Mytilus edulis: one gene and its partner. The protein of the gene in region 2 purifies or fractionates together with the protein of the main gene of each other region. This does not show direct contact. Links are inferred from orthologs where the notes say so. Each region holds a gene or a part of one and is shown on either strand. Other genes may lie near its edges. The genes, in order: ATPase inhibitor mai-2, mitochondrial-like; myotubularin-related protein 9-like.

Region 1 (16,462 bases), about 7.9 Mb from region 2:
ATTGAATTTGAACCACTGCATAAAAGTCAAATCATCAATGTATTAACATGTATTAGCTGTATAAATAAAATTGAAAACTGATTATGTCATTATTTGAATTTTTTCATAACATTTTATCAAGTTGTATTGAACGTTATTATCATACTTGACTTTTTATACTGATATATGCAATGTATATGTTTGTATTTGTTTGATTTTCATGATGGAAGGGAAGATAAGTTATATAGCTAACTGTGTAACCCTCTTAAAATAAAGTATTGTTGTTGTTGTTATTAACATGATCAAGTTAAAATGATTACCCAACATCAAAATTCAGAAGGTCCTTGTGCTGTGTAGTTTTCTTTGGGACTTAATACAACAACTATTTTACAGAAATGAGTCAACCTAAGCTTGAAGCTAAACTTCTTGTAATATATGTATATATGTCTTATCAGTCTTATCACAGTGCTAAATATTAAATTTTTTGATTTTAAGTCAAGTTTTCTTACCACAGAAGCTCAAAGTTACAATTTCATAAATTTTTTGTAAGTGAAAAGATGTAATAAAATTACCATGTATAAATGGTATATTTTGTCTTTGAATTAGTCTGCTTAAAATTAAGGTAGGGCTAAAATTATACAATATTTAATGGGATCAGAGGGTAAACCTAAGTTTTCCTTTATGGTTACAAGAGCTCAATTATTCGTAATGCATTTTCCATAGGGTACCACTGGTGTTCCGTATTTTTTTCTCGAAGACTACACAAACTAGGGAAAAACGGTTAGAAGTTACTGTTACTAGAAATGCCAGTGTTGCATTACAACCCAAAAAATATATAGGGTCATGCAGCAGAAATTGACTTAAAATGCAGTTAAAAAAGATCGTCTATTTCTTTCGCTTAATGAAAAAGGCATATTTCAATGGCTCCGACGTGCAGAAATGGAAGATATTTTCTATACTTCGTAAAATGTGAATATGATTTTCTGCAATTTTTAAACCTTATTGGATAAGCTTTAGATAAAATGTAATTCCTATCCTTTTTCATCCAATCAGAAGCCGTATAGTTTTCTATTCTGAGAACCATCTTGGGGTAAAAAACTTGCCGGTAAAATGTAAACAAATAATTGCGCTCTTGTAATGTTATATATCATAATATCAAAGCTCTATTATCTCCCTTAAAATATTATCAAACTTTTTTGTCTCCCTTTTCTACTTCAAAAAACACTTTTTTCTTGTGCATATTCTATATTTTGCCCATGTTTGTAATGAACAACATATTTCTGACCACTGATTATTTTTACAATTTTCCTTTTCATTTATATCATTATATATACAGTCTTTGTGATTTATAAACTTTGAATCTAAAGGCCTGAAGCTGAACAGGGATCTCCATGGATGAAAATTGAACGATGGAGGAACTTTCACCATTCTTCTTCTTCTTCTTTCAGTAACTTCCTCCTGTGGTTAGGAGCACATCAATTTCTTGATTATCAAAGTGGGCTTATATTACACGGACTTATATAGCTAAAATCACTTTGTTAATTCACAGTAAAAAACGCAATTGCATATATTAAAAAGACGATGGGCTTATATTACACGGACGGTATTAAAAGTTATTCACTTTGATACTTCGTTAAAAATAGTCTAAAATCTAAAATGACACTGATTCACTTTATGAAATTAGTATAACCATGGTCTGACACTATTAAATATCTGCATGTCTCTATATTCAGAACATCAGCTACCACTTTGATACAGCAATTGTCTGTATATTACGTCTATTATTGTAAACAACAACGTATTCAAACCGTGTCTACGCTGTACAGTGTAGCGCGATCGGAAGTATTTTATCCCTCCATACAAGGAATGGTGAACATGCTAATTCATTACTTATTTAAATTATATTTATTTGAATTTTCATTATAGAATTAGAAGTATCAATATTTTCATTTAAAAATTTGCCAAGTCTTAATGGTCCCCCCTTAGTCGAGAATGACCAAAAGCTGTCATGAAGGTCCCCATGTAGATTTCTTGTATTTTTGGTAATTGTTATGGGGCACAGGCACTTGTTTCTATCCATTGGAAGACCCACTATCAACGTATATGATTTGCAGCAACAACAAAACGATTCGTACGGGTTATGTAAAAGGTTAAAGAGATTTGTAAAGCAAACGTTGACAAATGAAAAGGTTTTTAATGACTTTATCTGGCAAATTGATGCTGTGCAACATGCATCTTTGGAGTCTGAATAGAAACCGGAAACGCGGATGTATCAATTTGATTGTAATATACGAAATGAATTCGGAATTACGATACGATATTTCTTTACAGGAAATATTTAAGTTTTTACTTTTTAAGTAATTCTAAATTATCGTTACAGCAGTACTCAAGTTATTTGCGATGAAATAATATTTACTGTTTTGCGTCTTATTTTGTACTTCTTAAAAAAGGGGGATGCTGATTGCGTAAGTCAAAATAAAGCACGTGTTCGACTCGTTAAACTGTTTTCTTTGTAACTGGATTATTAATTTATTTATTAAATCTAAATCAGGGTTGGCAAAGTATTACCCACCCGGAATTCCCGGGCGGGAAAACCCGGGTTTTCCCGGGCTGGGCAATACTCCCAGAAATGGGTAATAGTGGGCATTACTGGGCAATATGATTTTTAAGCTTATTTTAACACAAAATAGTAAAGACTTGTTATAGTTTCATAGTATAACAGCTAAATATATACTTTTTATACAGATAACTAATGAACTATTGACAGTCATTTCTAGAAAATTCAATTTCATTCTCTTCTCTATTAATTTTATATGTAGGCAGAATACAAGATTTGTACATTTAAAGATACCTTTTAATTACCAAGTATTGTTTCAAAAATTCAAACTTTAAAAAATGCCTTTTATTGCAGTGTTTAAGTGAATTGTTAATTTTAATTGTTAAACATTCATATTGCTAAATAAACACCCTACAGGGTCATGCCATTAACACTTATAAAATTGAAAAGATTGATTATTGTTACATAAACAAATCTGTGTTCTAATCTGAATAACTACTTATTAATTAGTGACAGTACATATATACATTATTTAAATGTGATGTTTCTTTAATACATGTTGTAATTGTTAATTCTTAATAGGCAGTGAAAGGAGCTATATTCATTTGAAAAAAAAAATAATATTTGCTTTCTATTTACAGTTTGCCAATCTAGACAAATTTTGCTAAACAAACAAAATAGGGTATAAATATCTTATTAAATGTATTGCATTTGTGTTTATCACTGAATCCTCTTTAAAATTCAGACAAATATTTTATATTACCCATTATTGCCCAGTATTTCCCACTAAAACCCAGTAAAACCCGGGTTTTCCCAGTATTTCCCACTGGGCTGGGCAATACTCATAAAACCCGGGTTTTTGCCAACCCTGATCTAAATTATCATAATCATTTGCTGAAACTTAGTTGATTAATTCGACAAATGGATCGTCTATCCTCAGATAGTATTCTCCTGTCTGGTTTGTTGATCTACCTGTACAAGCTCAGGTACAAGTGATTAGCGATCTTAATCCGGATATCCCTTAGGTGTTAGAACTGTATTGGATTATAACATAAAAAGCCTAAGGGTTATGCAATTACATGCATTTGATTATAATTGATAAAAAACTAGAGGCTCTCAAGAGCCTGTGTCGCTCACCTGCTAATGTGTTTACTGATGTCGGCCATCTTCGTTGGTAGGCGGGGTCATTAGACACTTTTTTTTAAAATAGATACCCTAGTATTATGATTGTGGCCAAGTTTGGTTAAATTTGGCCAAGTCGTTTTAGAAAAGATTTTTATACAAGTTACAAAAATGACGAAAAGTTGTTCAATATTGACTATAAAGGGCAATAACTCCTTAAGGGGTCCTCTAACAATTTTGATCATGCTGACTTATTTGTAGATCTTACTTTGCTGAACATTATTGCTGTTTACAGTTTATCTCTATCTATAATAGTATTCAAGATAATAACCAAAAACTGCAAAATTTCCTTAAAATCACCAATTTTAGGGCAGCAACCCAACAACAGGTTGTCCGATTCAACTCAAAATTTGTGAGGGGATATATCTTATTCTGATGGACATTTAAATCTTGAAAGATTTGCCCTAAATGTCTTAGTTTCAAAGATATAAAGCAAAAACTGCATTTTACCACTATGTTCTAATTTTAGCCATGTCGGCCATTTTGTTTGGCAGGCTGGGTCATCGGACACATTTTTTAAACTATAAACCACAATGATAATTGTGGCCAAGTTTGGTTAAATTTGGCAAAGTAGTTTTGGAGAAGAAGATTTTTAGAAAAGTTACAAAAAATGACGAAAAGTTGTTAAAAATTGACTATAAAGGGCAATTACTCCTTAAGGGGTCAACTGACAATTTTGGTCATGTTGACTTATTTGTAGGTCTTACTTTGCTGAACATTATTGCTGTTTACAGTTTTCTCTATCTATAATAGTATTCAAGATAATAACCAAAAACTGCAAAATTTCCTTAAAATAACCATTTCACAGGCAGCAACCCAACAACAGGTTGTCCTATTCGTCTGAAAATTTCAAGGCAGATAGATCTTGACCTGATCAACCATTTTACCCTGTCAGATTTGCTCTAAATGCTTTGGTTTTTGAGTTATTAGCCAAAAACTGCATTTTACCCCTATGTTCTATTTTTAGCCATGGCGGCCATCTTGGTTGGTTTGACGGGTCACGCCACACATTTTTTAAACTAGATACCCCAAGGATGATTGTGGCCAAGTTTGGTAGAATTTGGCCCAGTAGTTTCAGAGGAGAAGATTTTTGTAAAAGTTTACGGACGACGGACGCCAAGTGATGAGAAAAATGGTGTCAGGCTACAAAAAACGATGAAGTTTGAACGATGGCGGAAGACAATTTAACGATGGTGCGAGTCATTTGACGATGGCGCAAGACATTTGAACGATGGCGTGGTGCCATAGTTAAACAGGCCATGGAGATCCCTGGCTGAATTTAACAAAACTTTAATCAGGGTATATTGGCATGTAGGGGTGATTTTTACAGGCCAGGTAAAGCATTTTACAAGCCTGGATTGTTTGAACTGTGGTTGAGATACATTGTAGAAGACTGTTGGGGTGAATTTAAGTAGATATGTTTTTACCTTTCCTGCACCACTTCCCCATTCATCACTCATGGCCCTGATTCTGAAATAAAAAAATCACAACATATTACAAAACATGAATGACATGAATAAATAGAGATGTGGTCAGTGGCGGATCCAGAAATTTTCATAAGAGGGGGCCCACTGACTGCCTAAGAGGGGGCCCGCTCCAGTTATGCATCAGAGATTTCCTATATATATTTTGTACATGTATGTATTTGAACAATTTATCTTGTGGTTCAAATTTAAAAAAAGAAATCCTGATTAAGGAGTGGGTTCAGCCCCCACAAATATGTTTCACCCTACCATATTTATTATGTGCCTGTCCCAAGTCAGGTTCCTTTAGTTCAGTGCTGAGTGGTTGTAGTTAGTTCATGTAGTTCATGTCTGCCATATTTGTTTTTTATAAATTGTTTTTTTATATATTTTGAGTCTGTATGTTTTTGTAGATTGTGTTTGTTTCTATTTATTTATTTTTTTTTTTTTTTTGGGGGGGGGGGGTCTCTGTTGACCATGTTGACCTTTCAAATATTTTGGGCCATTCTAATTATCCTATTTAAAGTATTTTGTGTGTGTGTGTTTAACTGTGATAACTCCAGTGCCAATAAGTTTTGCACACTGCTATTCATATATAATTGTATGAACATGTACATGATTACCATGCTTAAAGTCATAAGAAACCTCAAATTTAAAAAAAATATGCATATGTTTTTTATAACTAAATGGATAGTTTTCATTATACAACTTATGTACATATACTTTTTTCTGAGGAAAATTCTTTAATTTGTCCACATTTAGAAGAAGTTTACTTATTTTTAATTGCTTGCTTCCAGGAAGCAATTCGCCGACATATTTTCCGTATGCATAGTGACCCGAGCGTAACCCTCCTCGTAAAAATCCGGTAATCGCAATACGCATGGATCTGTATTGAAATAAACAAATATCTGAGTATACATGTTAAACACGTGCTCAATACCCATGCTTTTTGTGATTTGTTTACTATAAGGTGACAATCGTTAAAACTCGGCTTCAAAACACGGCATTTAATGAGCAGCCATATTTTTTAAATCATAACAAACAGAGAGAGAAAAAATTGACGATTATAGGATATATTTGCGAAAATAATGATAAAATCGTGCACAGAGGACTAAGTTTATGATATATACATACATTGGTTCAAGAATTGGATAAACATTATTTTTCACCACTCACTCGTTTCATATGACTTTAAAGACAAATATTTTTGTCCAGTCCTTGCAGTTAACAAGTTAACAACTTTCAAAACCATACATCGTATATATACCGGTATGCTTTGGCTAGCATATATAAATAGTGCAACAATAAGCAGTAATTGTAAGCCTATTCAGATTTTTTTTTGCACTTGCATTTGAGCATTCCATAACCATTTTATTACATGAGAGACTTACTTCACTTCAACACACCGCTGAAAAAAGTAAGACCATGAAAACAGTTTGAACAGACATTCACTTTATTTAAAGAGGTAGGTGTTTAATTTGTGAACAATATACAAATGTATATATTTATAGTAAAACTTTTTCCACAACTACAACTGAGGTTTTACTGCTATCAACCTTTTCATTCAAATTTAGTCTCATGAAAGAGGGGTCACTCTTGTTCAAACCTATTTGTACTTTTAATATGTCTAAGCATCTTTCTTATCAGAGTTGAGCTCAAACTAATTATTGAAATATTCCTATACCAAATTTTTGATTATCATGATTATATATATGTACATAACCATTTGTCCCTATTCAAATACATTGATGGTCCCCCCAAATGAGGGAGGTTCGAAACCTTGCTATTTGTCTGCCATTACTGGACATCACAAAGGTTCCCCTAAAATTTTGACGTCATAATACAAAATATAAGACGCCACAATGCAAAAGCTATTGTTGTATGACGTCTATAGTTTAGCAGGGGCAGATTCTCGAGTCAACTTGAACAGATTTCCAAATGAAAGAGCAATAAGGTGTATTGTCATGATTGTGGGTCAAGTATTTTCTATTATAACGTCAAAATTTTAAGAGAACCTGAGATATCCCTGAAATGCAGACAAATAGCGAAAAAGGTGTATTGAACCACCATTGTCATGATTGTGCCGTATATTGCCATTTGAAAAGAAATGCGTGACAACACAGGCCTGCCAAATAAGTTTCCAATTCAATCATACATGCATCAGAGGCGGATTAAGGGGGGGGGGGCAGGCCCCCCCCCCCTTTTCCTGGGAAAAATTTGGTTGCTTATATAGGGAATCACTGAAGCATGACTGGAGCAGCCCCCCCCCCCCCTCCCCCCCTTAGGCAGTCAGTGGGCCCCCACTTATGAAAATTTCTGGATCCGCCACTGTGCATAGAAGTGCAAAACCTAGTAATGATCCAAAGAAGTCAATGATGTATCAACTTTAGTGATTAGGGATAAAAATTTACGGTAAACAAAATCTTAAAAAGAGGGGTTACTATAGACTGTAATCTTTTAAACCTGTTATCCTTAAATTATGTAACTCATTAACACTTTAACGGCAAATGTCTTATGTGGTTTTCCGTATTCAAAAAATGCATTACTGTATAAAACGTAATACACATGTGTGTTGACCATGCGACCTTCAACTGTTTGAATAGAGTAAAGGGCAAATTACTAAGTTCTTATGTGTCGTTAAAGCAATTTAATCTCTGTTATGAATACTTTGGTAGTTTTTTAATGCAACAGAAACATTACTTTATATTGCCATACCCAATAAACCGCAGGGAGGTTAATCTTTTAGCTGCTTGCAATGCCATCGTTATTTTACGTCTGCAAAGTTACGGATATAGAACCAAGGGAGATAACAACTATGGAGCGCATTTTTAACAAGAAACTTTTATTCATTGGGTGTCATTGGGACGTCGACATTTTCATCGTTTCTAATAAAGATATAGAATCGTTTGCAAAACTGAATTAATGTTACATAGCTTGAAAGTAATGATTTTTTAAAGTTTAAAAATATATTCTATTTTTTTCCTTAATTGTTGCAAAAGATATTGGGTGGGAGGGAGTGACATTAAAAAAGTGACGAACACCCCAAAGCATAATAAAAATAAAAGAAAACTAAACCGTGAGATTAACTAATTGATAGAATGATATGTTGTGCCACTATCATCATTCGGTTGACTATTTCAAGTCCTGGCGACCATTTTTATTGGTGGGAGTAGATGAGTGGGCCTGAGTAGTAGTAGGAGTGTCAATTAAGTTTGTGTAGATAGATAGATAGATAGATAGATAGATAGATAGATAGATAGATAGATAGATAGATAGATAGATAGATAGATAGATAGATAGATAGATAGATAGATAGATAGATAGATAGATAGATAGATAGATAGATAGATAGATAGATAGATAGATAGATAGATAGATAGATAGATAGATAGATAGATAGATAGATAGATAGATAGATAGATAGATAGATAGATAGATAGATAGATAGATAGATAGATAGATAGATAGATAGATAGATAGATAGATAGATAGATAGATAGATAGATAGATAGATAGATAGATAGATAGATAGATAGATAGATAGATAGATAGATAGATAGATAGATAGATAGATAGATAGATAGATAGATAGATAGATAGATAGATAGATAGATAGATAGATAGATAGATAGATAGATAGATAGATAGATAGATAGATAGATAGATAGATAGATAGATAGATAGATAGATAGATAGATAGATAGATAGATAGATAGATAGATAGATAGATAGATAGATAGATAGATAGATAGATAGATAGATAGATAGATAGATAGATAGATAGATAGATAGATAGATAGATAGATAGATAGATAGATAGATAGATAGATAGATAGATAGATAGATAGATAGATAGATAGATAGATAGATAGATAGATAGATAGATAGATAGATAGATAGATAGATAGATAGATAGATAGATAGATAGATAGATAGATAGATAGATAGATAGATAGATAGATAGATAGATAGATAGATAGATAGATAGATAGATAGATAGATAAGATAAGATAGATAAGATAAATTTTATTTTCCAAATTAGATAGATAGATAGATAGATAGATAGATAGATAGATAGATAGATAGATAGATAGATAGATAGATAGATAGATAGATAGATAGATAGATAGATAGATAGATAGATAGATAGATAGATAGATAGATAGATAGATAGATAGATAGATAGATAGATAGATAGATAGATAGATAGATAGATAGATAGATAGATAGATAGATAGATAGATAGATAGATAGATAGATAGATAGATAGATAGATAGATAGATAGATAAGATAAGATAGATAAGATAAATTTTATTTTCCAAATTAGGTCCCCAGGGGGGCATATACACATAACATATATAATTGATACAACATACAGTATTTTACATAACATTGTAAAATAAACTATTGAAATAGTCATACAGGTATTAAATCAAAAAGTGTTTGAGAGTTGCTACTCCAGAGATGTGGCAAACCCCATTTATTTATTTACTTTTAAACCAGGACATATGTAGAAGTCTACTCTGGTACTCAGTGAACATCCTTGGAAACTCGTATGGCCATACATACCAGGCCTGTATGGTGTATACAAGTAAGTAAATTTGGCGTTGAGTATCTGTATACTCATCCAGGAATGGCAATCCAGACTGCTTTGGAGGAGAATAAACAGGAGAAGAGAGAAACAGAGGACCAAACAGACATAAATGAGGGATTGTTAATTAGGGTTTGTGGTTTTTTTTTATTTGTTTAAAAAATATATAGACCACAGAATAAATTATGTTGACATAATCTTTTAAAACACTAATTTATTTTGAGCATAAGTTTTCCCTTTTTTATTGGGTTACTGCAAACATTTAAGAATGGGGTAAGCGTATACTAAATACACAAATGATGTAATTACAGAATAGTCATGTCATTATTTTAAAGATAAAGAAACAGGAATGAAGCCCCACAATCCATATCCTTGTGTAGAAAGGACGCCAATTAGCTGGGGGGGGGGGATTGTACAAGAAAGGATTTCAATGTACAACATGGCGATAAAGCAACCCATCAAACGAAATGTGTAGCAATTAGGGTCGGATCTAGAATGTAAGAAAAAAGGGGGAGGGTCTATAAGCAAATTGATAAAAGGGGCCCGGACAATATATTATCAACAATACGTGTAAATTTAAACTCACTAAACCCGCCTCTGGAAATAAAGCACAATATTATTGATAAATAATGTTCTTTTCAATTTTCGTAGGCAAGGTGTATTCGATTTGATCGTTTGTATAGGAAAAAGATACACTGATCACAGTTCTTCATTACGAAACGTGTATATACTCATCATAGATACCAGGACTAAATCAAGTTTTGTGTATACGCCAGACGCGCGTTTCTCTACAAAAGACTCATCAGTGACGCTCGAATCCAAAAAAGTGAAAAAGGCCAAATAAAGTACGAAGTTGAAGTGTCAACGTATATTTGTTCCACCTAACAGAAGTTCCTCTGGAAACTTTGTTATAAACAATGTCATAATTTATGTTCCTGTTGGAACAAATATTCTATACCATTTATTCCGTTAGGAACATTTACTGGAATATTTATTCGAGTGAAAATAATATTCCAGAATAATGTTTCCTTTAGGAACTTATATAATGAAGGAACTAAAGATTTTTTTCGCTGGTATTTACTGATTGTCAAAGTCATGTGATTTGCTATGGTGGAGTTGACCAGTGCGTTGAAAAAACGTCACTCGGTCATTTTGAAATTTAAATTACAGTAACACATTGCTTAATTGAGCAAGAACGTATTGACTTCTTTTTCACTATTCCACCAAACAGAAAGTATTACCCTTCAGACTGTAGACTATTACACTATCATGAAAAAAAAATTCCACAATATTATTTACCTACGAAAACATGTTTATCCCCAAAAGCCCCAGCCTATTTTATAACTAACAAAGTGGAATAATGATCCCCAGTCAGTATAAGGTCTAGAAAGATTTCAAGTCTCAGGTACGAACCATTTGATTTGAGGAGGCAGTCTGAGATATTTGAGAGAAAAAAACATTGACTCTGATTCTTGCCTAAAACAAAACTTCTGGCCGTATCTGGATTGAAAACAATAGTCTTGTCCACTTTTATGCTAATAGAAACGAAAATTTCCAACAAAATTATTTAGCATTAAATGAACATCATGAATAAAAACGGGCGTATTTTTTATTTTTTTTTTGTGGCCGGGGTTTGCATGTCTGCCCGGAAAGTCTGTTTCGCCGGACTTACATATTCGTTGTCATTTCAGACTCTGTTGGGTGAAACATATCAACCAAACATTTGGATAAAAACTGCCTGTTTGTCTTTTCTAACTCGTGTCGGTCGTATTGCGGTACCACGATTTCCCGAGAAATGCAAGAAAAACATTCTATCCCAAAAACAAACTGATATATTCCGAGAAAAAGACTTTTTATGGTGTTATGCTACTTTTTACAGTGTTATACTACTTTTAACAATATTAAAGAATATTACTTAAAGATATTACTCGTTTTTATTCGATAAAAGTGCAATTTCAATTCAAAAATTCGATTTGTATGACTTGTTACGAATGCAAATTCCTTGTTAATACAAAATACTAAATTTTCTCAAATTTTGTTCATCAAAGAAATATGAAGACAATCGCTTGGTATTATTTTAGTAACATTTGCAAATAAAAAGTTATAATTTACGATTATGGTGCTTGTTCTTCCAAAAAAATGATTTCTGCAAAAAAAGTTGACCGAACGGAATCAAAATTCGCCAATATTAAGATTTTAATATTTTGACCTGATCGACACAAGTGTTTTCATCGAATAGCCCGGCGTTTATCTTGTTTACAACACGAAATCTGTGAGGTTATGATAACTTAACTTGCAACAAACCGGCGATAATTTCCATGTCTATTTTTCACTGACAAGTCCCACATCAATTAAGCTTTGAATCCATACTATCATTTTATGAAAGACAATTAATAGGGAGAATATGAAGCATCAAAAATGTCCCACCCTTACACTTTACAGCAACTATAAAATATAAATGCCCCACGACAGGAACCGTTTAATTATGTATTTTTTAGCCCCAAAAAGGTCCCAAAATTTTTTTCCCTCGCTCCGCTCGGCGAATTTAAACCTTCGCCCCCCTTTCCAAAATCCTGGATCCGCCCCTGGGACCTTAGAAAAAAACGTGTTAAAACTACGGAGTTATAATATGTATTCAAAGTATTAAATTTTCAAAGAAACTATTGTGGGACTTTTTACCACGAAGAGCCGCAACACGAAAGGATTTTTGGGGTATGCTAATTTACGGAAAAATTAATCACACTTCGTACCCGGAAAATGTAACCACATATGTGAAAATGTCTCAGCTGCGAAACAAGCTATCATACATATACAAGTTTGCGATATGAGCTGAGCTACAGAAGAAAACGTTACCATTATCGCATATGGAGAAACAATTGCGCATAGTGCCCCAAGTATTCATGATTTACGTTATCCGACAACAATGTGAACAGATAATTGCTCCTTAGCTGCAAAATGGTTGACCATTCGGAATAATTATTCAAGTCCCACAAACATTAAAAAGATTTTATCCTACAAGATATAGGCTGGTCATTATCTTGCATTCAAAGATTTTTTGTATAAAAAGACTGTTTAACAAACAGAGCGAATTAAATACATTCTTTAACTGGATATCAGCAGAGGCAGAGGGACATAACAATTTCTTTTATTGTGAATAACAAAATTTCTCATTTGAATTATTGACTATTCCAACGGTTAACAAGACAAACATTACAAATTTCCCAATTTGCCAGACCAAATCAAACGATGCTGATTATAAAGAAGATGTTATTTTTGCAGAATATTTTTGAAAAAAACACTTTATTAAAATATATAGGGTTTATCATCTAAAATGATTTATCACGGTATATCAGTGGACGTTTTTTATGCTAGGAATATCGCTTACATATTCCATTGTAGCCAGTATGATGCTTCAAAGCAGTATGTGTTCTCATTGCAAGCCATTCTAGGACAGAGCATTATAAAACCCGTTGGCAGTTTTCTTCTCCGATTAGCATTATGAATATTCCCAGAAGAATATTAAGATATCCATTAGGGCTTATGTAGGAAATAACACACACATTCTTTCTTCTCATATATTTTATGATGGAATGATACAAAACTATTAACGGAAGGGATTGTGCTTGATTTTCATATGATGAAGACATAATCTTTCAGTCAGTTTAAATAAGGTCTTGAGCTGGCATGTCAGAAACTGCTACTAGTCCTTTGTTTATTTATATATCATTGTCATTTTCCTTAGTTTCTGTTGTTACCTTTTCTGACAACGGACTCGGACTCACAAAACTTGTTAAACTCCGCTGCATTTTTTGAGCTTGTCGCAAGTCAGGAGCTTATGGACTTTGTTACTTTTGTATGTTTTTCAATGTAGTTTTTGAAGAAGTTGAAGTCCAATCAACTTGAAACTTAGTACACATGTTCCCCATGATATTATCTTTCTAATTTTACTGCCAAATTATAGTTTTGACCCCAATTTCATGGTCCACTGAATATAGAAAATGATAGTGCGAAGTTCAGGTTAAAGTTTTTGGTCAAGGTAGTTTTTGATGAAGTTAAAGTTACATCAACTTGAAACTTAGTAAACATGTTCCCTTTGATATGATCTTTCTATTTTTAATTCCAAATTAAAGTTTTGACCCCAATTTCACGGTCCACTGAACATAGAAAATGATAGTGCGAGTGGGGCATTCGTGTACTATGGACACATTCTTGTTTTATATCTTTTAGTTCATATACATGGATATGTTTTTGAATCTAGTATGGTGTACATTTTCACTGAACTAATACACATTTTTATTTAGGAGCCAGCTGAGGTACAGCACAGGGTGCGGTATTTTCTCGCTGCTTTGAAGACCCATTGGTGGCTTCGACTATTATCTGCTCTTTTGACGGGCTATTGTCTCTTTGGCATATTCCCCATTTCCATTCTCATTTGTATTTCACTTATTGAAAAAATCAACACCACCATTGTGTGGGACAGCTGCCATTAACAATGGAGACAAAAAAAAAATAGTCAAAAGATAATTTCAACTTTATGACAACAAATCTGTTAATTTGATCAATTCTTGGTATTCTAAAAAAGTAAGATTAGATAAACTATGATACAGATGCCTCTATAGAAGAACACGAAGAATGAGAAAAGCTAGCGTAATCTGTTTTTGTTACCGTCTGATAAAAAGAAAATGATACAACAGATGCAATACAGTCTGCTTCATATTGATAGTCGATGAGGAACTTCTATCCACTGTAAAGATGTGTCGATGTCCAAATAGTGAAATCATAATTACCATAAAGCATCGTTTTTACAGCACAGGTCAGTTTGACATGAAATTCAAAGTATTGCGTCTCCTTTAGATACTTTAGAGGATGATTATTTTGATAAAGAAACCATTGAAACATAAATGAATACTCGTATGATAGATTAAACAGTCATTTAATTACCGTTATATGAAATTTTCACATATTCACACACACAATATAATTTCCTGAACTTTAATTGCATATTGAAAATGATATACGAGATGTCGTAAAACTACTATTGCCAAAAGCCAGAAATACTCTTAATGATATAACAAAATGCTTATAGCGCATAGATTGAACGGCTATTTGGAGTGTTTCGCCTCTCTTTTAAGGGTGATCCTGTGTTATTGTGTAATTAAAAGAAGTATCATGTAGCAGTATATAGACAGATCGCAATTTATATTGAAATGCTCAAATGTAGATTGATACCTCGACAAACCTCCACTAAACAACCTGGAGAAATATACAAATATTGTTTTTCCCAAGTCAGAATGACCAGATTTAGAAAATTGTTCTAGAATACACTACAACTATCATTGGAAGTGTTTATCATAAAGCGAAAGGACATCAAAAAGTATATATCAAAAAAATCTTATAAAGTCAGAAATTGTTTTTCGGCTTTCCTTACCAATGGAACATGTTGAAAAAACCCAGAAAGTTCCTTAAATTTGAAAAAAAATCCTGTACGACAATATAAAATGGTGCATTTCATGCGCGCTATTTTGAGAAACAATCATTAGGATTGTTAAAAAATAAAGAAAAAAAGCAAGAGATATTTTTTATTGAAATTATTATCCTAAACACACTAAATATTATGTGTAAAAAATAAACATAAACAATGAAAGGTAAATTGTTTATCGGTTCCAAAATGTTTTGTGCAAAAGCAATATAAAACAAATATTATCCAATATATGAATAAATGGACAAGAAAAAAGTTGTTATGGTTTATTTCGACTGGAATATTTAATAAAAAGTCTTAATAATCAAGCATCAATAAACATCAAAGACCAAAACTGTCTTCCCCCATTCATTGACAATATATAACTTTGTATAGTTTTGGTTGAAGCACACAGCGACTGGTTCTTTGATTCCATGTTGAGAATGAAGTGGAATATCTATCACCTTTCCCTCCTGTGTAAGTCTGTGTATGTTGTTTGAACCTTGTCCACTGACGTAAAGGTGTCTATTATCATCAGAGCATATATCAGTCGGTGTTTTAATGGTTGTGATGCTAGAAAGTTTTTCACCACGATAATTCGGAGCTTGAACTCCTCTCTTTCCGACCAGTATATCATTTGTGCCAACTGTACACGAAAAAAAAGTTTTCCCATCAACTGTATGTGTCTTCACAACACCAGCACCAATAGCAAATCCTTTATTACCTGTGTATACTGTTTTGTCCCCAATGGCACTGAAATAATTTAAATTAGATCACAAAGAAAAAAAATAGTTATAGTGAGCAATTTGGTAAAACAGCGACCTTGAACAGTTACACCAACCTTATTAAAATAAATGTAACAAGTTCAATTGTTTGCTTTCGTAGGTAAGTATACTGATTTAAGATTTTTTCGAAACCACAATCGTACAGTTGTTTGAAATATCTATTTGCGTTACACATGAAAATGTATATTCTTTTTATTGTCATCAGCGACCGAAACAATGGCACTAGAAGTTTGTTATACTACAATGTAATATTTAGAATAATTTTCTGTGCTGCAAACTAACGTGGAGAAATTTTATGATGGTTTTTTTTTCTTTAACAAAAAATGTTGGTGGTGTAGGCAGAAATGCAAATTAAGCTTTAAAGAGATCAGTATTTTATCTTCTGTGGGATGTGTTTTTTCGATTGAATTCATTTGTATGTATAAAAAAGATCCAAATATATTTCC
Region 2 (17,330 bases):
CATGACAGAAGACGACTGCATACAGACTCTATGGACATGACAGGAGACAACTGCACACAGACTCTATGGACATGACAGGAGACAACTGCACACAGACTACGGACATGACAGGAGACGACTGCATACAGACTACGGACATGACAGGAGACGACTGCATACAGACTCTACAGACATGACAGGAGATGACTGCACACACTCTACTGACATGACAGGAGACGACTGCACACAGACTCTACTGACATGACAGAAGATGCCTACATACAATCTCTACAGACATGATAGGAGACGACTGCACACAGACTCTACGGACATGACAGGAGACAACTGCACACTCTACGGACATGACAGGAGACGACTGCATACAGACTCTACAGAAGATGACTGTACTCACTCTAAGTACATGACAGGAGAAGACTGCAAACAGACTCTACGGACATGACAGGAGACGACTGCATACAGACTCTACGGACATGACAGGAGATGACTGCACACAGACTACGGACATGACAGGAGACGCCTGCAAACAGACTCTACAGACAAGACAGGAAACGACTTCACACACTCTACGGACATGACAGGAGACGACTGCACATAGACTCTACGGACATGACAGGAGACGACTGCACAGACTCTACGGACATGACAGGAGACGACTGCACACAGACTCTATGGACATGACAGGAGACGCCTGCATACAGACTCTACAGACATGACAGGAGACGACTGCACACACTCTACGGACATGACAGGAGACGACTGCACATAGACTCTACGGACATGACAGGAGACGCCTGCACACAGACTCTACGGACATGACAGGAGATGACTGCATACAGTCTCTACAGACATGACAGGAGACGACTGCACACAGACTCTACAGACATGACAGGAGACGACTGTACACAGACTCAACGGACATGACAGGAGACAACTGCACAGACTCTACGGACATGACAGGAGACGACTGCACACAAACTCTACGAACATGACAGGAGACAACTGCACAGACTCTACGGACATGACAGGAGACGACTGCACACAGACTCTACGGACATGACAGGAGACGACTGCATACAGACTCTACGGACATGACAGGAGACGACTGCATACAGACTCTACAAACATGACAGAAGATGACTGTATACATTGGCATGATTGCTACTATTATAAATACATAAGTACATTTTTTATTGTGTTACATATGATCTAGAAAGGCAAAGGAGGATATTTGTATGGACATAAAACGTTTTGTGCATGAACCAAGTCATACTTTCTATTGTTTGTTTAATATATGGTATTTGCTTATAACATTTGTTTTTGAAGATAAATCTACTTTTGATGGTTTGTTTTTAACAACTCCATCTAAAATAATCTCAGACTATAGTGAACTCAGATACTAATTCTGCCTAAAAGTAAAATATATACTCAGGCTATAGTGAACTCAAGATTTTCTAACTCTGCCTACAACAGATTCTGGCTAACATGGCTAAAACTAGCTTTGCCTAAAAAAAAACTCTGGCTATAGCAAATTCAGACTAACATGACTAATTAACTAAAACAAGCTCTGGTTAATGGAAAACTCAGACTTACTAACTCTGCCTGTACCAAACTTGGGCTAAATGGAACTCAGAAATTAAGCAGATAGGAATGTTGTATAATTGTAGCGGGGTTCATTGTAGAATCGAAATGAGGATGTAGTACCATTGTAATAACAATGAAAAGCTATATTTTCATGCCGCTAATACTGCGACCTCACCACGATTTATTGAATTTATTTTAAAGACAGTCATGTGTCATTAATGGATTATGCATCTCTTGTTAAACAAACATCAACGTGAATTAAGCATTCATAAGGGGACTAAGTCCTGTATAACAGTAGAAAAAATCAATAATTTTTTTTTAAATAAAATAAAAAAATCGGGAAAATTTCTCGAATTCTTCATTGTACTAATCATCATTCATGATCATCAACTCAAATCGTTAACTTTTTTTTGTCACTTTTTTTAATTCCTGCATTTGCGCAGAAATCTACAGTGTACTTCCTTTTCCCAGTCTAATTTGCATGAAACTTTGGGTAAAATATATATTTATCAGTCTAGTATAAAATAGGAATGAACGCAATACCAATTTCATTTTTAATAATTCCATGATATGAAAAAACGTTACCTGATGTGATAGTGTTACTTGGTTTGCATTGCATATGACATCACAAACTTTAATAACGTCACAACTTAAATACCTAACATCATGAACATGAACAACAGAACCAAAAAAGGAAACGTTACAGTATTTTCATTTTGAAATTAAAATATGTTTGAATTAAAAAAAAAAAAAATCATATAGATTTCGTCCCAGGTAATGCCTGCCTCATATTACCTAGATATATCTGCCATCTTTTTAAAATGCCCAGAGCAGGCCTTCCTAACTTCCGGATAGGCGCCATATTGGAAAAAACTGGACATACTCAGAGAGGTAGGTCGTCAATTTGAAATGTTGAATTAAGAAAATCTAGCAAACCAATTTTGTATTGGATTAGTGCATATTGTACTGTGAGTTAAAAATTTATAAGTTATCATATTTTTATAAACAAAATTATTATGGTTATTGAGAAAAAGTTCAGGATTGCCAAGAATGTTGCGAAAACACATGTCTGATAAAACCAAGTCTTGGTTTTATGAATTTTTGACAATTGTTCGTTTTTGGATAAGAAATTTCTTTAAATTAAAGGTCCGATAAAAGTTTAATATGTTTTTGAATGTTTATATGGCAACAACATTGCAAATCGGATGCAAATTATGCATTTTGACGCACATGTTATGCCGCTTCATTGTTATGCAAATGAGCGACTATAACCGGTTGTTTGTGTACTTTAACACACATGATGTATCATTGAAAACGTGCAGGCATTGTATGGTATGAATATTTCAATATATCTGTAATTTAAACTTTAATTGCTCAATTCAATACATTAATTAATTGTTACATGTACTTTGACAGAGAGTTGTCTCATTGACAATCAATCGTATGTGCCATCCTTTTCTTCTTATTTATCTGTATATATTTTTAATACATACACATTTATATTATATGTATAATAATTTGAATTAGTATCAGATTTTGTTCAGTTTCATTTCATTTTGTTCAGTTTCATTTCATTGGACTAGGGAGAACACAATTTAGAACAATTACTCTCAACTCAAAAGGGGGGCACTACCTATACAGAAGGTGAAATATGCTGCTGGAAAACATGAAGGTCATCTTCTCAAGCTTGAAAAATATGTGTGGATAGGTCTGGAAAACTATCAGAAATATATGATTACATCATTAAAGTTACAATAATTTCTTCGTCTCTCATCCTTCTTGGTGTTACAAGCTGTTTTTTCAATCTCTTTTTACACATTGGTATTCTACTTTTTTATTGCAGAGCAAAAATATTGACAGGAAACCCAAACAATATAGGAAAAGGTTACATTTTCACCTATATCTGTATTCATCATGTTGCAAAACAATATATATCCATGTCAGATTGGTGAAGTTATTTCACTCAAATATGGGTCCTTTAGCTACCCTACACTATGATATTTATTTATTCTTTGATTGATCCAGTACTTTATAGTCATGTCCATATTCATATTTTGTCTTCGTATAATTTCAGTCAGTGGAAATACTAGACACAACATCCTAGCTGGTTTTCCAATTTGTCTTACAGACTATGAAAACACTGCTGTAGTTCTTTGATTCTTTGATAACTTGTACATGTTGTTGTGATGTAACAAATCACTTTTCATAAACTACATGTACAAAATGAAAGAAAGAAGGTAAGTTATTAAAGTTATACTCAAATAGTTCTTCATTTTTTGGGTCAAAGGCAACAGGACACCCTGCCACTTTTTAAGAACATCAACGATTATTTCAATTTAATTTTTTAGATTGAAATGATTTTGTAAAATTTATATATTTATGATAATTTGATAAAGCTTAGAAAAATGTAAGGGTTTTGTTTTAAATTTTTTTTTTTATATCTGCAATAAAATGAGAAGTGTTATTGTCTTAAAGACTTTAGACATTTATAGATATAGTTCACATTTAAATTGTTCTTTTAAATTGCATATTGTTATTTTTTTCTTTAAAATAGATTTGCTTTTTGCTTCATGTACAACATTATATTTCAGGTTAGAATGCAGAACTGGTGAAGATGAAGGTTATAATTGTGATCTACATATTGATTAATTTGAAGCAGAATTTGTTCTTAAGAGTGAAATAAAAAAAAGCAGTGTGTTTTAGAAAGATGTTCCACTATTACCAAAACAACAAAAATATTCATTGTTTGACTGAGAGATAAAAATGTAAATAAAGAGTACTAGACACTTAATTTTCTTTTTCTATTCAATTTTTTTAGTAGCTATATACAGCTATATTACCAAGCTCCAATTAGACCTATATTTATTTAACCCTGTTTCCAAATTATTTGAAATCTTTGGTAATCTTATTCAATTAGGTGGTCCTGAGATATTGGTCTATGTATCTAGTGCTGACAGTTCTTGTTGTTTTTTTTGTTTGACTTTTAAAATACATGGTCCTAGACTCTTTGCTATAGGAATAAGGATATGCAAATAATACCGTATTGATGTAGATATCCCTGTCACATTGATCATTATGGTGTCTTTAAAGGTAGTGTTGTTTGTTGGTGTATAATCAGGATCCCAACACATCTAACAAGAATGTGTCCTCAGTACACGAATGCCCCACTGTTCAGTGGACCATGACATTGGGATAAAAACTCTAATTTGGCATTAAAATTAGAAAGATCATATCATAGGGAACATGTGTACTAATTTTGAAGTTGATTGGACTTCAACTTCATCAAAAACTACCTTGACCAAAAACTTTAACCTGAAGCGGGACAGACGAACGGACGCACAGACCAGAAAACATAATGCCCCTCTACTGTAGTAGGTGGGGCATAAAAATGCAAGTGATAAACAAATAAAACTCAATATGACCAAAAGCAAACAGAGTTTCAAACTACTTACTTAGAACAAAGTCATACAGAATGAGAATGTGGTGGGCTTACACATACTGTACATGCAAATTCTCCTGTAACTTGTGACGGTGTAACAGCTTAACATTTAAGAACAAACAGTTGAACACAGAAATATGAAAATATGTGGTAAGATTGCTAATGATTGAAAAAGACAACTCTCAACCAGAGACCAAATGCATCTACTGAAAAATAACTCATAAATTGTGTCCCTGCATGTAAAAGGTCTCTAGTCAATAAACCCTGAACATGGGCTGGTCTAAAAAAAAACTCCATGACTTTTAGTATAAGATGTGCTTCAGTAAATACAACCCGATGCATATCTAGAATTTGTAAAAGTGGTTTGTGGAGGGGTCCCAAAGCTAGACGAATTTATGAGTGAAACCTGCAAAAATCTTGACTGACCCTAAATGAAGCTTAATGAGAGGGGTGCGAGCACCCTAACTACCAAGTTTTATCCAGCTTCTGACAACTGCATTCCAAATATTATGGACATACGATTTATGGTTACATTGCTGACTGCAGCTTACGGTTCATACCTAGCTGTTTCTTTTGTCACAGCTTCTAATCGTCATAGTTAAAAAAAATCATCAAAGATCTGCAATCCAGATTTTTAAATATGCAAATTATAGAATTAAGCAGACAATATATATCAACCAAATTTGTCACTATAAATTGGGTTAGATCCGCCTATCCTGATTCAGTGAACAATACTTAAGATAAAGAAGCCAACTTGCATAAAAACTATATATATTTCTGGATCCGCCATTGAACCAGGGGCGGATTTACGTGGGGGCGTGGCGGGCGTACGCCCCCCCCCCTAAAATTTGCAAAGTATGGGTTGTCTTCAACTTGTTTCAGTATCAGAAGAGACCATTCCTTCTTAACATTCAAAGTATATAAAACAGTCAGTTTAACCAGGGACTTTCTATACTAAGTAACAGAATCAACTGACCTACAATTTATTCAAGTTCTATAAATATTATATACTTCAAAGGAAGGTGTCTGATTGAAAAATGAAAAACATGTTTAAGCTGTTAAATTACAAACAATTGTTACTTTGTTTTTGCCGTTTTATAATCAATTTCTTTGATAATCGAAGTGGCGAATTATGTATACCGTAAATACGTGCATGGCCGTATCCCCACAAAATAAAAATAACTTCGTAAATGTATCTCATTCTGATTTTAGTGGTTTGTGGCGAACACAGTATATGTATATATTAAGTCTGGCACGACCTCCGAAAATCCAAAAAGTTAAAACATATAATTAAAGGACAATTGGAAATCACCGCGAAAAGTGGAAATTTTCGTTTGCGAAATCTAATACTAGTATCTAGTATTGGTCATGTGAGCTGATGTGATCTATCTTGTCTCACTTTGCTTCCGTCGATCCACCCGTCTATCTGTCAACTCTTTACATTTCCATCGTCCTAACCAAGTTTGTCGATGATTGTGTTATGGAGTGTTAAAGTAATTCTTAAGTGAACCGGTTTCATTTCACATAATTTACACCATGTTGAATGGCTAAGTGACATTGACGATCTGCAAACAAGGGCTTCCTGTTTTTGTGATGTTTCTGTTTATCACAATTACCAGCACCAATGTCTTTCAGGGATATTTATGACCTTATATTGATTATTTTAGAAGTGCTGGTGTCTTCAGTGTAGATTGGTCTGCACACTCAGTTTGCATAGGAACACAGAATCAAAATAAATTGTTCGCATGATCTTCAGCTTCTGTTTTGGGTTGCAGCTTTATAAACTCTATCATATATATGCAGAATGAATCTCTTACATGTAGTACGTAAGTTATTGGTGTTAGGAGTTTGTTGAAGATTTTTCAAGTTTGTAAGAGACCTTGTCATCATAACTGAGAGGTTTTTCGCGGAACAGGAACATATATTGTTTTACATCTGTCCGTCCATGATACTATAGTGATTGTAAATTGTTGTCAGGTTGGATTTAGGTGGTTTCTACTTGAAACTTTAATTTCTTGCTGACTGTACCTCACAATAGTTCGAAATACCTACATTGCACCCCTTTAGAAGAATATTTTTAAAAAAATAACCTCAAAAATTTTTGCCTCGCTCCGCTTTTTTTTTGTTATTTACAAATCTTTAAAAATTGTAACTCAGTTGAAGCAAATCAATGCTTACACGAGGATACCGCAAGTGTTATACATGATATCCAAAAATCAAAATTATGCAAGTGAAAGCACCGATAGTTTTTCCTCCGGTGAAAAAATGCGTACTGGATTTGTTACTGACAGAATTAAACTGGTTTAAAAAAAACATTTTATGTAAATTTCTTGCTGAAATATAAATTCATTTTCAATTACTTTTACTCAGTAATGAAATTTGTATATCGGTAGACCAATTTAAACGAATAAAACAAATTTAAATTATTTTTTCAAGTATTCCCCCCTCCCCCTTTTCTATAGTTTTCATAATACACGTAGAAAACACTTTGATTGAGTACATTCGTGTGCTAAGACGTGTTTGTTATCATATTTTGGGAGTGTAGAAGAAGACCCCAAATAACCGGTCAAGGGTTCATACACTTATCAAAATAAAAACACGAAAAAACTTTAAGCCAATCGAACTAGCAGGATAATTTATCGGTATGTTCGGACTGTATTCTTATTTGTTATGTAAAATCTACATATTTCCGAAATAAAGCCGCCATTGTCTGATTATCATCTGAAGCGAGTTAGGCTCCCCTCTCTATGATTTCCCCTGCCCAGAGGTTTTGCGTGCAAGATGGCTGTCATAGTCCTTAAAAAACTTAAAGGGGGCTTTTAAATGCATTTCAATGTTGTTTTTGTGATTCTTCATACTTTCAAAAGCCTATTTAAACTTAAAGTCATGATAAAATTCATTGTTTTGTTTAAAATAGTGGACAAAATTGCTCTTGTAAAATTTCTCTTTGGGAACCCGCAAGTAGTGACAGTTGGCAGGTATGACTTGTTTTGTAAATATACCTAGATTTAGATATAAAGTCAGCTTCTGGTTTCTGTATTCTGTATTCTGTAGGTGTCGCTGGTTTCGTGCTGAAAATTTATCATAATTTTTTAGACCGGAAGTTGCAGACAACTCTTTTATTTCCGAGGCAAATACGAGTACAAAAAATATATAATTTAAATCAACACAATTTCATTTTTTTTTATTTTCAAATAAAGGAAAATAAACTGCCTTTTTTAAAATTTCAAAAAACATTTTTGTTATACCCTCAAAGAGTGAAAGAATTTAATTTGCTGCTGAATAGTGTCGCTGGATATTTGGAAGATGGCGGATTACGATGGTAAACAACTTGGTTGCTGACCAAAATATTGCTGTATTTTTCATATTGACATTAGCTTGTCGAAGTCATGTTAAAGCTTCACTGCAACAATAATTCATCTTTCACATAAAATTTAGTTTTAGATTACCAGACAACCAACAAAATGTTTATTTTTTAACTTTGAAAATAAGTTTTAACAACTGCCGTGAGCTGGTGAGTGGCACAGGCACTTGTTTCTATCCAAGTGGGTCTTCCCATGGATAGAAACAAGTGCCTTTGGTGAGAGGGCCTGCTTTCGCTGCTGGATAACTCGGACTAAAACAAAGTCGGACTATAACAAAATCGGACTATAACTCGGACTATAACAAACTCGGCCTACCATTATTTATATGCAGAAATATATTGAACAAACTCGGACTACAGTACGATTAGAAGATTGTAATAAAAAATACTTATATATTAAAATAATATACGAATTTATGAGATTATCATGAATATTTTTGTAAAAAAAAAATCGTATATAGAAATGATTAATATTTGTTATATGAGTTGAATTAGATATGTTTAAATGAGGAGGATCTCCTGGCCTAACGGTCATAAAACTTTCGAGCATGATTTTTGAACTCAGACTCGAAAATCAACCAATCAAATTGCTGGATTTCATGTTTCGAGCACGATTTTTGTGCTCCAAGCACTGAGCAAAGTTTTATGCCTTCAAGGCCAGTAGTTGGTGATCGCAATACTGGTATACCAGTATTGTCCACAATACTGGTATACCAGTATTGTCCACAATACTGGTATAAAAATTTTGTACCAGTATTGTAACTTTTTATTAAAAAAAAACAGCAATACTGGTACATTACTGATATACCAGTATTGTAGTTGTATTGTTGACTAGACTATATTGAAGATCAAAGGGAGATTAAATGAACTCAAAAAGATTATAGAGGATAATTGTGAAATCAATAATTATTTAACAACCAGTTAAAAGTCATTACTATACTTGCACAAATAAACAAAAGATTATTGAAATTAACTCATATCATCATTATTATTTAAACAATTGCTAATAATTTTATATTATTTAAAATTTATTATATAAAAGCTTATTATTATCTGAGTAATAATATAATAAATTCAAGCAAATTATTAGACTCTAACACTGTAAATTCATCATTTACATGTATGCCATCACATATTTTGACAAACATTTTAATACATGTATACATTTTTTGTGTACTAAGATCATATGCATTTGTTTGTCTTTATTTTCTTATTAATCTTTCACAACAAAAGATATCAATATTATTCATTAATAATAAAAAGTTGCTTTATAGGGGAACCTTGTTATAATCAAATTAAATAGTTTGTCTACATGAATGTTAAGGGTTGAAGCAGTTGATTCAGAACCATGGACAATACAATTAGTAGCAGGTACATATATATCTACTGGTACAAATACTAGACCAGCATTCTGACAGTAAGAGAGCTGTACAAATGCTATTTGAAATAGCTTGTAATCTAGTAAGCTTTAGAGAAAGTCCACAGAGACTGAATATAGGAGGGGGGAGGGGTTGCAGAAATCACATCTGAAGAAGAAATAGACAATACCAATGCTGATGATACAGAAGCTATAACAGCATTAATGTCAATATAAAATTCACTAAAATATACTACATGAATCTTGGAAAGATAGAAGAAAGTACAGAGTTTGTTAAAATGCTGAGACAGAATGGTTAAGAAAAAAACATCAGAAGATTTAAAACTTTATTTGATGACAATCACAGAGTACCATCTATGGCATCATCAGTTAAACACAATCATTCCTGATAAAATTGTCATGTCATATGTTAATTTCATTATGCATATATGTGACACCTTTAATAAAAGATTAATTACCTATATTGTTTATTTAAAAAAAGCACAATACTGGTACAATACTGGAATACAATACTGGTACAAAATTTTTATACCAGTATTGTGGACAATACTGGTATACCAGTATTGCGATCACCAACTACAGGAGATCCAATGAGGATAATTAACTTACATTGGAATGTTATTGTGATTTATGATGTTTATTGACAATTGCAAAAGATATTTTAATGAGTGGCGTGTGTTCGTGTTTTTATTGTGTTTAATCCTTGGTGTTTATGATTATAGTAAATAAACACAGAGAAATTTGATTGACAGTGAATGGCTTCATAACAATTTCACTATTTCAAAATATGATCAAAAACCAGAAATGCTACAATTCACTGAATTGTCTTATAATAATTAACACAAAATTTATAATAATAAAAAAAAACCTGAAGTCCAGTCATAGCCAATACAAGACAAGACACATTTAATTGGATATTTAGTACCAAATTTCCTGTAATAACAGATAGATTTGTCCTGACTTGGGTGATAAGATAGGTGTCAACAGTACATGTGCCAGTTGTTTGTTTAACCTATGATGATTAAAAAAGGTATCAACGATACACGTGGCATGATGTCATAATCAATTAAGATATGCATATAATAAAAACATATTCTGAGAGGGACATTATTACAAATAATAATACTGAAAAGACAAATCAGTGGAAATTTTCATAAATGAATTTCAAAAAGATTTATTTTTGTACTTTTATTTTAAAAATATCTTGTTAACTTATTTTTTTATCCCCTTCAAAAAAGTTCAATTATTTAATTAATTGAAGATAAAAATTCATTTAAATTAAGAATTGAAAATTAATTTCGAATAACAACAACAACCAACATTATACTTATATTCTTCTAGTAGTCCGAGTTTGGTATAGTCCGACTTTGTTATAGTCCGATTTTGGGAAGCCGAGTTTCTTATAGGCCGAGTTTGTTATAGTCCGATTATGTTATAGGCCGAGATATCATGGATTCCCTACTTTTACTTTAGGGACACCATCAACTTATTTTAATGGCACATTAGTGATATAATTACACCTTATTTAAAAAAAAGGCCAGATTTTGATTGGTTGGTAGCCGGTGTATTTTTCACATATATTATTCTATCTATATATCTGGTTTTCCTCATTTCAAACGAATTAGCCTGTTTTTTACAACTATTACTGGTATCAGTGAAAATGCCATGGTATCGGCCATTTTGGATACTCATTTAATACACATTATCGCTAATTCTGGCTGACCCAGCCGCTTGAACTTTTGACACATACAACAATCACTTTCCATTGTGTCATCAGATTTTTAAAGCAATTGCTTTCATGCCGTCGCGTATGGCCATCTTTGTGACCCAGATCAGAGACTCCGCCCAGATCAAGCCATAGTATTTTGTTAAACAGGCTCCTGGTCTGTCATTCTTAAACACCTATGTATGTTTTCTAATGCAATACATAGCTTGAAACTTTTGAAAAACGTTAGTGGATTTAAGAAGTTTCAGCATACGTTCTTGTAGATATATTTTTGTATTTAGGGGGACAACCGTTTGACTATCAAAAAACATAGACGTCCGAGTGAAAAAAAATGCATTTTTATACCTGCGATTCCGTTTTCCGTTCGTACGATGTTTCAACAAAATATGGAATCATTTCAGTTGTTGATTTAGTATTGAAAATTTGACTGAATTATCTTTTATAATATACGGTTTTATATGTTTAATTGGTGTTTTTTTAAGAAAGAGGTCAGGTGCTCTTGTTCATTCATAAAATTGTCGTTCATTCATAAATTTATCGTAAAATCAAAATCACTACACAGGTTATCAGGTTATACGTAGTGTCAAATGATTACCTGTAATCTAAAAATAGACAAAGTTAACTGACCTATTTTGTTGATTTGTTTGCGCAAATAATTTAGAGGAACGAAACCCTTGTTAAAAACACATAACAATAAGTTTGTTTTCCTTTTTTGTCATAACTCCGTAAGATTTATCGATCACCTTACTAATGAAATGGACCCGTCCAAATGTGATAGATGCCAAGTCCAGATGAAGAGATATTTACAATTTGGAATTTTCTAGTTTCATAGATTAAAAAAAGTACATCCTTTTTGGATATCATATTCAAAACTGGGTATGCATGACAAATGATGAAACCATTATCCTTGTCTTTCCAATGGACGAGTCTACTACGTTTGTTGACCCTCGACGGTCCACCGTGTTTGCAATTATATTTCACATGTTTTCGAAATATTGAAGATCATTTTCACAATGTTTCCTGAAAATTGGATAGATATCAAAGCAACTTAGAGCTGTTTGTTCGTGTTCGTATAATGACGATTTAATGTCATGTTTGTCTGTGATGGCCCCTCTTTTCGGGATTGCATGAGAATTATAGTTATCTCGTACAGCATGAGGATGACACATATCAACTGAGCAATAACGTTTGGGACTTAGTTTTTAAGAAATGATGACAAAGTAACATTATGAAAATATTTTTAGTCAGCTTAAATATATATTTATTTTTTACATGTTTATGTCTTGTAAAATATTTTGTTTCTTTCCCGTTTTTCAACATTTGCGTCTGGAAAGTTGAAATGTTTTAACTGAAGTGTAAAATTTAAATTAATTATGAAAATTAAATCAATAAAGGAAATTATTGCCCAGTTACAAACACTACTAGGGGATAATCCATAATAATTTCTCTTGGAGTTATATGTTTCAGCACATGTATATCTGACCCCAACTTTAGCCTGGTAAACGTGTTGTCTCCTTGTGAAATATAAAACATATTAAAAATGACTTTCTGCTTAAGTCTTTAATTGATATAAAGTTAAAACCTTCTTAATTCTCACTAGACAACACTCCTGTCATGTTTAATTCTTAAATATATGTGGATGAAAAAAAAGTCCCCAAAACATAAACATGGCAGCAATTGGCTTTGATTTATTTTATGACATCAAAATTTTATGGCAACCTGTGTGGTATCCAGCTGTAATAGCGGACAAATAGTGATAATTGAGGTGTAAATGAGGCAGGCAATACCAGTGTAAGAGGACAAAGTCTGTATGATTTTTTTTCTAATTCAATACATTCCTTTCTTAATTTTATTTAAACTTCAAAATCTGTTTAAAAAAAATTCTGATTTTGGCTCTGTTGTTAAAAAGTATAGCATGTTTAATTGTGACGTTATTTAAGTTATGTCATGTATGTATGATTAATATTCAATATAAACATGGTAGACCAAAAAACACTATCATCAGGTAAAGTTTTTTCATATCAAAAAATTATTAAATATGAAATTGGTATTGTGTTTGTTCTTATAAGTTATATACACCTTATTGCTATTCCCGGCTGACCCAAGAATCTGTTCTGCTTGAACTAATGACGTCTTTTGATGGGGTTTTTGTTGCTTATTCTTTAGCATGTTTAGTTTTCTACGTTGTGTGTGCTGTTGTTGTCTGTTTGTCTTTTTAATTTTTGGCCATGACCTTTTCAGTTTATTTTCGATTTATGAGTTTGACTGTCCCTTTGGTATCTTTTGTCCTTCTTTTATATAAATCACTTTTCCATTGTGGTGTCAGATATTTTGTACAATTGTTGTATTACAAATGTATTATGGTGTCAAGATTTTATGGGAACCTGTGTGATATGTCCAGTAATGGTAGACAAATAGCGATTTCACTAGGCTGATTAATATATCAGTAAAAATATTTTACTCAAAGTCTCGTCAGACAAACAAGACTGGAATAAGGAAGTACAAAATGTAGATTTCTGTGCCAGCCAATGCATATATATATATATATGTGATAAAATAAAAAAGTCTGAAAAATAAAAGTGAACTGAGAACAATTTAAAATCATTCTTCATGTTAGTCAATGTCACATGTAGCTATATATAGTAGACTGATTTTTTTGTGGGAAATTTTTCAAAAAGAAAAAAAAATAGATTTGTCTCTGTTTTTTTTATTTTTCTACTGTAATAGGAGACTTTGTCCTCTTTTTACCCTCAGGAGGTTCTTCTCATGATTTGATTCACAGATTGATAGCTCTAGGTACATGTAAATCAAAAACTGTAAAAAATACCAAAAAAAAAACTGATCTATAAAGTTGAAAAAGAAGTCTTTATTTTTTACAAATGAGTTATTTTAGAATGGATTGACAATCATGTTTATGTCATATATACCATGACGTTACTTAAAGACAGTGCTAATCATGCTAAATTCCCCATTTCCATTCTCAATTTTATAATAAATAAATTAAAATAATACATGTATAATTCCTAGATAGTCTACTTATAAATCCTAAAACTAATGCATAAAAATGTACATGTATGTGCCTTTCAGCCCTATAGATGTCCTTTTACCTGTTCAGAGAGCTTCAATCAAAATCTATTTGGTGTAATAAAACAGATATCTCATGGAGGGGTAATAGTCATAATTGTAAAAATAACAGTCTTGGGACCACAATTCCCTTGCCTTGTGGCTTGGGAAATTTCACAGTCCCTTGACTGACATTTATGCAAATACTGTTAAATTAACTCCTGCCAACTCACCTAACTTATGGAAATAAATGAAATCTAGATACATTTATAATAAAGGTCTGCAAACTCGCTAATATATAAAAACTTAAATTGTTTGCCATATTTTTGAGATAACTGTATGTATTGTATTTTAACCATCACACAATAATTAGTTCTTTTAAAATTTAATACTTTGAATAAATTTATAACTCCATACTTTTTACACATTTATTCTATAGTCCTCAACTTTTTACACAAACACAAATGGTTAAGCTCAGTCACCGTCAGTCACTTGTTAAAAATACATGTACATGTAGATTATGATACATGTTCAATTTCACTATGCACACATAGATTTTTGTTTACCTACATTTTTTGTGTTCCTTAATTGGCGGTGCATTAGGGATAATGACCCAGATATTGAATCCCATGTTACAATAAGCTGGGGCCTTACAGAGATGATGAATCCCATATTTTGATGACTGATTTGTTTTTTTGTAATTGGCAGGAAGAACAAGTTTGCATCAACATGTTCATAACCTTTTAAATTGCACTTTAAAAATATTGTTTTGGGGAAATTTGGCATGCTTAGTATGACATCATTATCACTGAACTGGTATACATATTTGTTTAGGGGCCAGCTGAAGTGTGTGGTGTGGGAGTTTCTCGCTGCATTGAAGACCCATTGGTGGCCTTTCGGCTGTAACTTTGTCTGTTCTATGGTCAGGTTGTTGTCTCTTTGACTTATTCCCCATTTTTTGATTCTCAATTTTATTGTACATTATGTAAGCATGGTAAGGACATGATGATTATGATCAATAATGACATTTTACAATAAAGGAAATTTTATATATAGATACATACATTTATTTAAGAAAATGCATTGAACTTAAAATCTTTTATAAATTTATATAAATTTTTTCTTGTTTTGAATTTAACTTAAGAAGTTTCCCATAGATGGATTTTAGAATGAAGAAAGGCTGAACCACTGAAAAAAAAATTTGATTGAAAAAATGTGTTTACCTAATGTACCATCCCGTATTAACGTATGAACGTATTAACGTATGAACGTATTAACGTATGAACGTATTCGGAAAACTGAAGCTATTTATTCAAACACCTTGTTAAAGAATTTGCATTCATTTTATAAAACTTAATTACATTTTTTGTATCTTGATTATCTCCCCTCTAAATTTTCAAAACAAATTAAGAAAGAAAAGTTTGATTTATAAAAATCATTTTGCTTAAAAATGGGTTCATTTTTTTTTTAATCAGGTAAAATCAATTTCAGTCGCTGCTGTCAAGAGAAACCTAAGATGACAGAGTACTCATAGACAGTAATACTACTTTAAATAATAAACTGTGTATCTTTAAATAATTTGATTTATATCTAGTATTTACATGGAGATGTTGTGATAAACACAGATACCGCCCAGAATTATTGTAATGCAGCGTTGCAATCTCTCGGCTTAAATGAACAGAAGCTTAGTGTACACAATATCATTAAAGAATTTAAACCACCACCCTTATTGAGCTGTGCTAATCTCAAGTATCATTTATTTCCATTTATAGGACTTTTAAATGAGGCATAAAGTACACAGGCTTCTATTTAAAAATAGTTTAAAGATCTAATTACAGATAGCGTGTGGAATTTTGAATATATTTAAAATTAGACCTAAATTGAAATTGAAATTGATTAACTTTAAATGAAACGGAATGTTTTTAAAATATTTATTTAATTTAATTTGTTAAAAATATACAGGCCAGAAAGTAGCACAGGATAGCCATGACAATCAATGCTTTTGAATGGGGATATCTGGTTGGAGCCCCCTTTATCCTGGGTTGAGAAGCCCCCTTTATACTGGGTTGAGAAGCCCCCTTTATCCTGGGTTGAGAAGCCCCCTTTATACTGGGTTGAGAAGCCCCCTTTATACTGGGTTGAGAAGCCCCCTTTATACTGGGTTGAGAAGCCCCCTTTATCCTGGGTTGAGAAGCCCCCTTTATACTGGGTTGAGAAGCCCCCTTTATCCTGGGTTGAGAAGCCCCCTTTATCCTGGGTTGAGAAGCCCCCTTTATACTGGGTTGAGAAGCCCCCTTTATCCTGGGTTGAGAAGCCCCCTTTATCCTGGGTTGAGAAGCCCCCTTTATCCTGGGTTGAGAAGCCCCCTTTATCCTGGGTTGAGAAGCCCCTTTATCCTGGGTTGAGAAGCCCCCTTTATCCTGGGTTGAGAAGCCCCCTTTTATAAATGGCTAGATTGACTATGTACTTTTTCTTAGCCTTCATTGTAATCTTGTTAATTTTTCATTTTGAAAATGCAAACTCAGTCAGGGTGATCTTAAAGGGGCACTAGCTGTCAAATCCATGGTCACCGACTTGACTCAAATTTCATATTTGATTGATAACAATGTAAAACATTTATCCAAACTACCAAAAGTTTAAAATAAACAGTCTACAGAGCATGGGATAGATAAAATGTAGGTTTGTTTCGTGTGTATTTTAGTCCAGACGCCATCTAATTAACTATCAATTTGACCTCAGATGACCATATATAAGCAATGTAAACATAAATAAAGATGTG

Evidence for each region.
Region 1: the proteins of myotubularin-related protein 9-like (region 2) and ATPase inhibitor mai-2, mitochondrial-like purify together in Homo sapiens (affinity purification with mass spectrometry; 5 studies listed by BioGRID and IntAct, with this or other methods). This does not show direct contact. The link is inferred for Mytilus edulis from reciprocal best matches to the Homo sapiens genes MTMR9 and ATP5IF1.

Annotation. Positions count from the first base shown.
Region 1 is NC_092355.1:69,041,126-69,057,587, reverse strand, and holds the start of ATPase inhibitor mai-2, mitochondrial-like, read right to left. Parts: upstream 7,975-16,462; 5' UTR 7,944-7,974; coding exon 7,882-7,943; intron 5,189-7,881; coding exon 5,146-5,188; intron 1-5,145.
Region 2 is NC_092355.1:76,957,922-76,975,251, forward strand, and holds the start of myotubularin-related protein 9-like, read right to left. Parts: upstream 8,148-17,330; 5' UTR 8,023-8,147; intron 4,373-8,022; exon of another isoform or gene 4,173-4,372; intron 3,819-4,172; exon of another isoform or gene 3,656-3,818; intron 2,914-3,655; exon of another isoform or gene 2,804-2,913; intron 2,473-2,803; exon of another isoform or gene 2,407-2,472; intron 1-2,406. Other genes in the region: zinc finger C2HC domain-containing protein 1A-like, read left to right, coding at 8,327-8,342. UniProt on the Homo sapiens protein: Acts as an adapter for myotubularin-related phosphatases. Increases lipid phosphatase MTMR6 catalytic activity, specifically towards phosphatidylinositol 3,5-bisphosphate and MTMR6 binding affinity for phosphorylated phosphatidylinositols.